2 linked regions of the Canis lupus familiaris genome follow. The protein of the gene in region 1 purifies or fractionates together with the protein of each later gene. This does not show direct contact. Links are inferred from orthologs where the notes say so. Each region holds a gene or a part of one and is shown in the gene's direction. Other genes may lie near its edges. The genes, in order: RPS9 and CTCF.

Region 1 (4,506 bases):
TGTGGGGAATCCTGGTCCTGACACCTAAGTGTCTAATTAACTCCTAACAGCAGGATCCTCCAGAAGCTGAAAGATTACCACTGAAAGCTCGGTTGATGATTAGCATTTGTTAGCAATAAAATATTTTTTTATTAAGATGTGTACATTGTGGTTGTTTAGACATACTGCTATTCCACACCTAATAGACCACCATATAATATGAACAGAACTTACAGATGCACTGGGAAACCAAACAATTCATTTTTCTTTTGCAACATCTGCTCTCTTGCAGGCCTAGAACTAAGACCCCAGTGTCCCCAGGGTGTGCCTGTCATCCCAGAGCCCCTGGGAGGGTAAGATGTCCAGAAAGGAGGTCAAGAAATGGTGTAAGTTCCTGCAGGTGATAAATGGCACCAAGGGGGAGGCCAACAGGTAGCAAGAACTTTTTTCTTTTTTTGCTGTTAGAAATCTTGTTAAAACTTACAATTTGTATTGGCTTTCAATTTGCCAACATAACACCCAGTGCTCATCCCGTCAAGTGCCCCCTCAGCGCCCGTCACCCAGTCACCCCATCCCCCTCCCGGCCTCCCCTTCCACTACCCCTTGTTCGTTTCCCAGAGTTAGGAGTCTCTCATGTTCTGTCACCCTCTAATTTTTCCCACTCATTTTCTCTCCTTTCCCTTACAATCCCTTTCACTACTTTTTATATTCCCCATATGAGTGAAACCATATAATGTTTGTCCTTCTCTGAATGACTTATTTCAGTCAGCATAATACCGTCTAGTTCCATCCACCTCGAAGCAAATGGTGGGTATTCGTCGTTTCTAATGGCTGAGGAAAATCCCATTGTATACATTGACCACAGCTTCAACCATAGCAATAAGTTTCAAAACATTTCTCCTGTCCTGGAAACCCAAAGGCAACCGCAGGCTACCCCGGCGGTTCCGGTGAATGAGGCCTGTGCTGCAGGAGGGCGACGCCCCCGGACCGGGAGCCGAAGGCACCAGGCGCGGGCCTTCAGGTGAGGCCCAACTCCTGGGATGAGGACGCCAGGGAGGTCGAACTGCAGTCCTGCCGGGACGCGAGGGTGCGGGGGGCGCGTTCGGGCAGGGCACCCATGTGCCCCCGAGGCCGGGCCTGTGCACCTGCTGCCCGACCAGGTGTGCAGCCGGGGTGCGCCCTGCTGGCTCCGGCCGTGCTTCAGCAGGACGCTCCTCCTCCGACATGAAAGCCGGCCACATCGGGGCTCAGGAACTTTCGGGGCCCCTCCTGGAAGGTCGCCAGGCCCCAGCTCCACCGAGCGGGAGCGACCGCAGCCCCGGGAGCACCGACACCAGCTCCCAACGCAGAGGCTCGCCAGCCGGACGGGTCAACTGCACCCTTCCCGGCGTGCCTGCCTGCGCGCGCTCGTCGCTCTGGCCCAACCTCTCGTCTCGAATGCTTTTTCCCGTCCGCCTACGCCTCTTCTGATTGGTGCAGGTGTGCGGCGTGCGCGCTGACGTCACCAGGCCGCGGCGTTGCTATAAAAGCGTGCTCGGGGGCCGCGTGCTTCTCTTTCTCCGGTCTGGGAGCTCACGGTAAGGAGTAGTGTGTTGTGCCCGCGGGTCAGGGGGTGGGTTGCGAGGTCGGAGACGGTCAGATGAGACTGCAGCGCGGGAGTGTGGGTTCGCTAGGGGGCCGCGTAGGCGCCGTCCACGCCCACACGGGCCCTTCTTGCCCTCCCGCGCAGGCGGACGCGCGGAGCCAACATGCCAGTGGCCCGGAGCTGGGTGTGTCGTAAGACTTATGTGACCCCTCGGAGGCCCTTCGAGAAGTCGCGCCTCGACCAGGAACTGAAACTGATCGGTGAGTAGCCTGGACCCGGCTTCCGCTTCCGGGTGAGGGGTGGGCGAGGCCGCCGCGTGCTGGCTCTGCGCCACCTGCCGGGCCCCCCGCCAGCCAGTGCCCTGTCTCCGCAGGCGAGTACGGGCTCCGGAACAAACGTGAGGTCTGGAGGGTCAAGTTTACCCTGGCCAAGATCCGCAAGGCCGCCCGGGAGCTGCTGACGCTGGACGAAAAGGACCCGCGGCGCCTGTTCGAAGGTGTGTGTGAGCGTGCACGGGCCTGTCTCCGATGAGGTGGAGATAGCAGGTCTGCATTCAGGTGTACCCCTCTCCCTTGGGTGCGTGACGAAGCAGGTTCCTTGCAGGGAGCCTGATGCAGGATTCCATCCCAGGATCATGACCTAAGCCAAAGGCAGACGCTCAGCCAGAGCTACCCAGGCATCCCTAACTGCATTCTTTTAAAGTGCTTCTTCTGAGTCGTTGGATCTGCACGGAAGCCTTACAGTGGTAGAGGGGCAGTCAGGGGCCTCTCACTGTAGTGGGACTGGGGGGCGAACTGTGGTGGGGATGGGCTGTGATTTTTAGAGGAAGCTTAGGGAACTTGGCCTACGGTTGAAATGCTACCTGTGAAAGGTAAAGGACTTTGATAACGTACTGGTTTGGAAGGAGGTAGCTTGTGTTTTATAAGTGCTTATATGGGAGTAAATTACCACACAGGTTGCTTGTTTTGCGCCAACCCCTAAAATTGGCTGCCTCAATGGCTATCCTGATGTTGCTTTGGGCCTGAGCTTAGGGAATCTTGGTTTATGGTGAAAGGCAGGAGGGGCTGGGAATAATGCCTGGTTTTTTCCTGAATTTTCGAAGTTACTAGTTTGATTTCTTTCTCAGTGTATACTTAAAAAGGAAACTTAACTTGAGTTGTCACTGTTAAGTGTGGGTGGTCTTTCATTTTCTATATTGAGGAGGACTTGAAGGCGGTTTAACATTGCAGATTCATTACCCAATTCTGAAAATTCAGGAATTCCCTCCCCTGTGGTTGCTTGCAGGGGACTTTATCCCACAGCTAGTTGAAGGTGGAGGAACTTTGTGAAGATACAGCTAGGTCAGGTCCTTGGTTGGATAAGCATTCATGTGGCGGACTGGGTGGGGTTGAGCAGCAGGTAACCCAGGAGTACTTGTGGTTCCCTGTGGCAGAAGAGGAGTGAGTTACAGGAGGTAGGCAGCACCACAGGTTGTAGGCTTTCAAGTAAATAAGGCATTTAACTCCAAGGGACAAGAAGGAGGAACCCTGGAAGCTCTGCCAGTCTATTGGAGAGTTGTCTCACTCATAGAGCCTGGGGTCCAATCCATCCCACCGAGGCCTATGACTTTGGGCAGAAAACTTCTCTGCTTGCCTGTTCAAGAGACTGACTCGTAAACCAACAGCCAACGTGTGGCGGAGGGTTCATACAGGTGTGGGCTTCATCCTATTCTCACGGCAGCCGTAAAGAAACTGGTATTGCATCCGTTTTTCAGATCAGAAACTGAGGTACTTGAGTTGCCTTGTGTCATGATGACAGGGAAAGACGTATGCGTCTGAGAATTGTCCTCATTGCTTTTACGTTTGTAAAATGTCCTGATTCTTGTTTTGGCCAAACGGAGCCCACGTGATCTTTCAGTGGTTGGACATACTCCTGTTGAAGATGCAAAGTTTATTCAGTGTGCATTGAAAATTATTTTAGTTCTTACATGTAGATAAGGCTGTTCTGGTGTTGATGGAATGCTGGCTTTCCTCAGTGTGTAGGTGGTTTAATAGTAAACAAGAAATAACGTTTGTTTCTGATGATGGTGGTCTTATTTTCCCTAGAAGTCTCTAAAGAGATTATAAAGTTTGAATTCTCATCAAGTTTGTGTTTTCTAGCATAAGAACAAAAAGGCGTAAGTGTCTTACTGGTAGGTAATCCCAATTGCCTATGAGTGTCTTTTTTGTATTAGTATTTGAATGTTACTGGGTTTTTTTTAACTAGGGTATGATGTATAGCAGTGATTTGGTATTTCTATATGCCATGAAATGATTACAATAAATCTAGTTAATTTCTGTCACAGTCTTTAAAAATGTTATTTTAGCAACTTAGCAATATTCAGTATCCTAACTGGAAGTTTATCATTTGAACACCTTGACCCATCCCCCCTGTGCCTCTGGCAACCACCATAATCTATTCTTTATGGACTTGATGTGTATTTTGGTGGTGATGATGGTTTTGTTTAGTCTCTGTATAAGCAAGATCATGGGAATTGATTTAGTCCACTTGGCACAATGTCCTCAGGGTCCATCCACGTTCTAGGTGGTGAGATTTTGTTCTTATTGTGGCTGAGGAATACCCCCACACCTCCACCCCAGTGTGTGCGTCTTACCACCTTTGTTACTTGTTCAACCATCCGTGGGCTCTCACATTGTTTGTGTCGTGGCCCTTGGAAATAATCTGCAAGGGAGCTTCTCTTCCAGTTAGCAATTTCATATCCTTTGGATAAATACCCAGAAGTATGAGATCCGTGGGTGGCTCAGCGGTTTAGTGCCTGCCTTTGGGCCCAGGGCATGATCCTGGAGACTGGGGATCCAGTCCCACATCGGGCTCCCTGCATGGAGCCTGCTTCTCCCTCTGCCTGTGTCTCTGCCTCTCTCTCTCCTCTCTCTCTCTCTCTCTCTCTCTCACAAATAAAATAT
Region 2 (3,811 bases), on another chromosome or scaffold:
CCTTAGACCATGCTTTGAGAAACAAAGATATAAAACAGTGCTGTCCAACAGGGTAGCCCCATGTGACTATTGAGAATTTACAGTGTGACTAGTTCACACCAGTTGAGTAGAGTTCTCAGAACCTACCTACTTTTACCTAGAACCATTGTAGCTGTTCTGTCCCTTAAGTTAGATAGTAACTCTTTAGGGATGCCTGGCTGGCTCAGTCAGAAGAGCATGGTGACCCTTGATCTCGGGGTTATGAGTTCAATCCCCACATTGGGTATAGAAATTACTTAAGTAAATAAGCTTTGGTTTATTAAAATAGACAGTAACTCCTTGAATGCAGAACCAGCTCTTTGTAGTCTTTGTACTACCTTGTGGGTGGTCCTGACTACCAGCATGGGTATAGTGTTAAGGTACCCAAATTGGAGAAATGTTTCTCTAATAGAAGTAACAAAAGCTTTGTGTAAGACTAGGGCAAGAATACAAAACACTTTAATTTTGAATTAACCTTGTATATACTTAAGTCAAATTTTTTTGTGAATTAGATGATTGTTCAGACCCATTTTACTGTTAGGTATCTGGGTACTTTGGTATTCACAAGGCTTAAGAGCTGGAAACTGAATTGGCTCATTTTTCTTTTCCTGTTTTTTAAAATATGTTCAATTAGTTGAGTACCTACCAACCTGAGTGTAGTGCTGAGGAACAAAAACAACTTGTTAGACATGGTCCCTGTCCTCAAGGAATTGGTGGTTTCACAGAGGAGAAATAAATGAATGTCAAGTTGATGGTATGACACAGGAGGTAGTGTTGTGTGGTAGTCACTCTCAGGACCATTGGAGTCTGGATCCAAGGTCTGATTCTGATTCCAAAAAAATAGAGTGAGGAAACACTATGATGGGGTATTTTTCTAAGGTAGAATTTAGTGAAAAATAGCCAGGCCCTCTGTCAGTGTTTTTATTAATAGTTACAGGAAATGTAAAGGATTTAAACTAATTTTGTTAACAGTTCTTTAATATCATCAAATATCCAGAGTTGAAAAAAAAATCCAGAGTTGAATCTAATTGTCTCATGTCCTATTTTTTTTTACATTGTTTGTTGGTTTGAATTAGGATCCAAAGAGATCCATATGTTGTGATTGATTGCTATATTTCTTTAAAGATTTTATTTGTTTAAGAGAGAGAACACGCGCACGTGTGTGTGTGTGTGTGTGTGTGTGTGTGTGTGTGAGAGAGAGAGAGAGAGAGAGAGAGCGAGCAGGGGGAGGGGCAGAGGGGGAAGAGAGCCTCAAGCAGACTCCCTGCTGAGCGCAGAGGTCTACAGGCCTGGCTTGATCACAGGACCCTGAGATCTTGACCTGAGCTAAAATCAAGAGCTGGAGGTTCAACTGAGACATACCTAGGTGCCCCATTATTGTATTTCTTATATCTCTTTTTATCAGGGTTTCTCAACCTCAGCATTATTGACATTTGGGGGCCAATAATTCTTTGTTGTGGAGGATTGAACCTATGCATATCAGAATATTTAGTAATATATTTGGCCTCTACCCACTAGAGATGCTAGTAGCATATCTACCCCAGTATTGACAACCAGAAATGTCACAGGCCTTGCCGAATGCCCCCAGAGGCAAAGTTACCCAGGTTGAGAACCACTGATATGTAAATTCTCCCTCTATCCTTCCCATTTTTTGCCTTGGTGATTTATTTGCAGAAGAAACTGGGTAGTTAGTCCTGCATAGTTTCCTTCAGTTGGGATTACGCTGATTTCATCCCTGTAGTGTAATTTAACATACTCTGTCACCAATTTCCTGTTAATTGGTGGTTGGAGCTAGAGACTTGATTAGTTTCAGATTTTTTGTTTTTTATAATAAGACTGCTTCATAGGGGGTAGTTTGTTCTTCCATCAGGAGGCACATAATATCTGTTGTGTCTTTTTGTAATTTAACAACCATTGATTTCCTAATTAATTTGTCAGGGATCGTTTTTGTTTTAAAATGTATTTATTTTCATTTAGACAAGCTTTATTTTAAATAACAATCTGTGGAATAAATGAATGAATAGATTAATAACAAGCTGTGTTCTCCCTTATAAAGGAAGGGGAAATGGAAGGTGAGGCGGTTGAAGCCATTGTGGAAGAGTCTGAAACTTTCATTAAAGGAAAGGAAAGAAAGACTTATCAGAGACGCCGGGAAGGGGGCCAGGAAGAGGATACTTGCCACCTACCCCAGAACCAGACTGATGGGGGTGAGGTGGTCCAGGATGTCAATAGCAGTGTACAGATGGTAATGATGGAACAACTGGATCCTACCCTTCTTCAGATGAAGACTGAAGTAATGGAGGGTACAGTCGCTCCAGAAGCAGAGGCTGCTGTGGACGATACCCAGATCATAACTTTGCAGGTTGTAAATATGGAAGAACAGCCTATAAACATAGGAGAGCTTCAGCTTGTCCAAGTACCTGTTCCTGTGACTGTACCTGTTGCTACCACTTCAGTTGAGGAACTTCAGGGGGCTTATGAGAATGAAGTATCTAAAGAGGGCCTTGCAGAAAGCGAACCCATGATATGTCACACCTTACCTTTGCCTGAAGGGTTTCAAGTGGTGAAAGTAGGTGCCAATGGAGAGGTGGAGACGCTAGAGCAAGGGGAACTTCCACCTCAAGAAGATCCTAGTTGGCAAAAAGACCCAGATTATCAGCCACCAGCCAAAAAAACAAAGAAAACCAAAAAGAGCAAACTGCGTTACACAGAGGAAGGCAAAGATGTGGATGTGTCTGTCTATGATTTTGAGGAAGAACAGCAGGAGGGCCTGCTGTCAGAGGTTAATGCAGAGAAAGTAGTTGGTAACATGAAGCCTCCAAAACCAACAAAAATTAAAAAGAAAGGTAAAATGAATTTATCCATTTTACTCTCATAAAATCATTTTGGGATAAAGCAAATAAATAACATAGGGTATATGCAAATTATTTTATAGTAAGTGTTTTTTGTTTTGTTTTTTTAAGATCATGAGCTGGGTACCAGTCGTTTTAACCAGTCTAAAAGAAGTTTTTCCACACTGAGTATTTTTTAAGTCCTGAAGACAAAAAAGTAAATCTTTTAGTGGCATTGAATAATAATGATTTAACATGACTTAGATTGAATATAGTTAAAAAGGCTAATGAAGTTTATTTGTAGAAATTTAACATTCGGGTTAAACTTGCAACAAGTAAGTGTTTTGTTTTGCATATAGGTGTAAAGAAGACATTCCAGTGTGAGCTTTGCAGTTATACATGTCCACGGCGTTCAAATTTGGATCGTCACATGAAAAGTCACACTGATGAGAGACCACACAAGTGCCATCTCTGTGGCAGGGCATTCAGAACAGTCACCCTCCTGAGGAATCACCTTAACACACACACAGGTGCTGGATATGAATGTTGGGGGCTATAACATGGTAAAGGTTAAAACTTCGGTTTTAAGTATTATCTAAGCTGGTTCCCGTGGGAAGTTAAAGAATGATTTTTGTTCTTTCTTCTGCTGTAATCCTGATTTATAATAAGCAGATGAATTTATAGGTAAATGTAAAGGAATTTTTGTGGAAAATAAGCAGACTGTTTAAGGATGGTGAGCCAGAAAAAGATTATCTATGGTAGCTAACCTGTCATGTTTCCTGAAGGACATCACCATTGTGTTGCTAAGGTTTTTTGGGGTTTTTTTTTTTTTTTTTCTAAGGTTTTTAACATCAGTGACAAAAAATGACCCCCCAAATTCCCAGGCACTGTAAGGATGAACATTAGAAATAGCATGCAGTTCTCCCTTTGTTAAAAACTATGATTTCTGGTTGTTTCACCTC

Evidence for each region.
Region 2: the proteins of RPS9 (region 1) and CTCF purify together in Homo sapiens (affinity purification with mass spectrometry; 3 studies listed by BioGRID and IntAct, with this or other methods). This does not show direct contact. The link is inferred for Canis lupus familiaris from reciprocal best matches to the Homo sapiens genes RPS9 and CTCF.

What each region holds. Positions count from the first base shown.
Region 1 is NC_049222.1:103,746,469-103,750,974, forward strand, and holds the start of RPS9 (40S ribosomal protein S9), read left to right. Parts: upstream 1-1,512; 5' UTR 1,513-1,556; intron 1,557-1,708; 5' UTR 1,709-1,727; coding exon 1,728-1,824; intron 1,825-1,937; coding exon 1,938-2,060; intron 2,061-4,506. UniProt on the Homo sapiens protein: Component of the small ribosomal subunit. The ribosome is a large ribonucleoprotein complex responsible for the synthesis of proteins in the cell. Part of the small subunit (SSU) processome, first precursor of the small eukaryotic ribosomal subunit.
Region 2 is NC_049226.1:82,418,024-82,421,834, reverse strand, and holds part of CTCF (transcriptional repressor CTCF), read left to right. Parts: intron 1-2,074; coding exon 2,075-2,864; intron 2,865-3,208; coding exon 3,209-3,379; intron 3,380-3,811.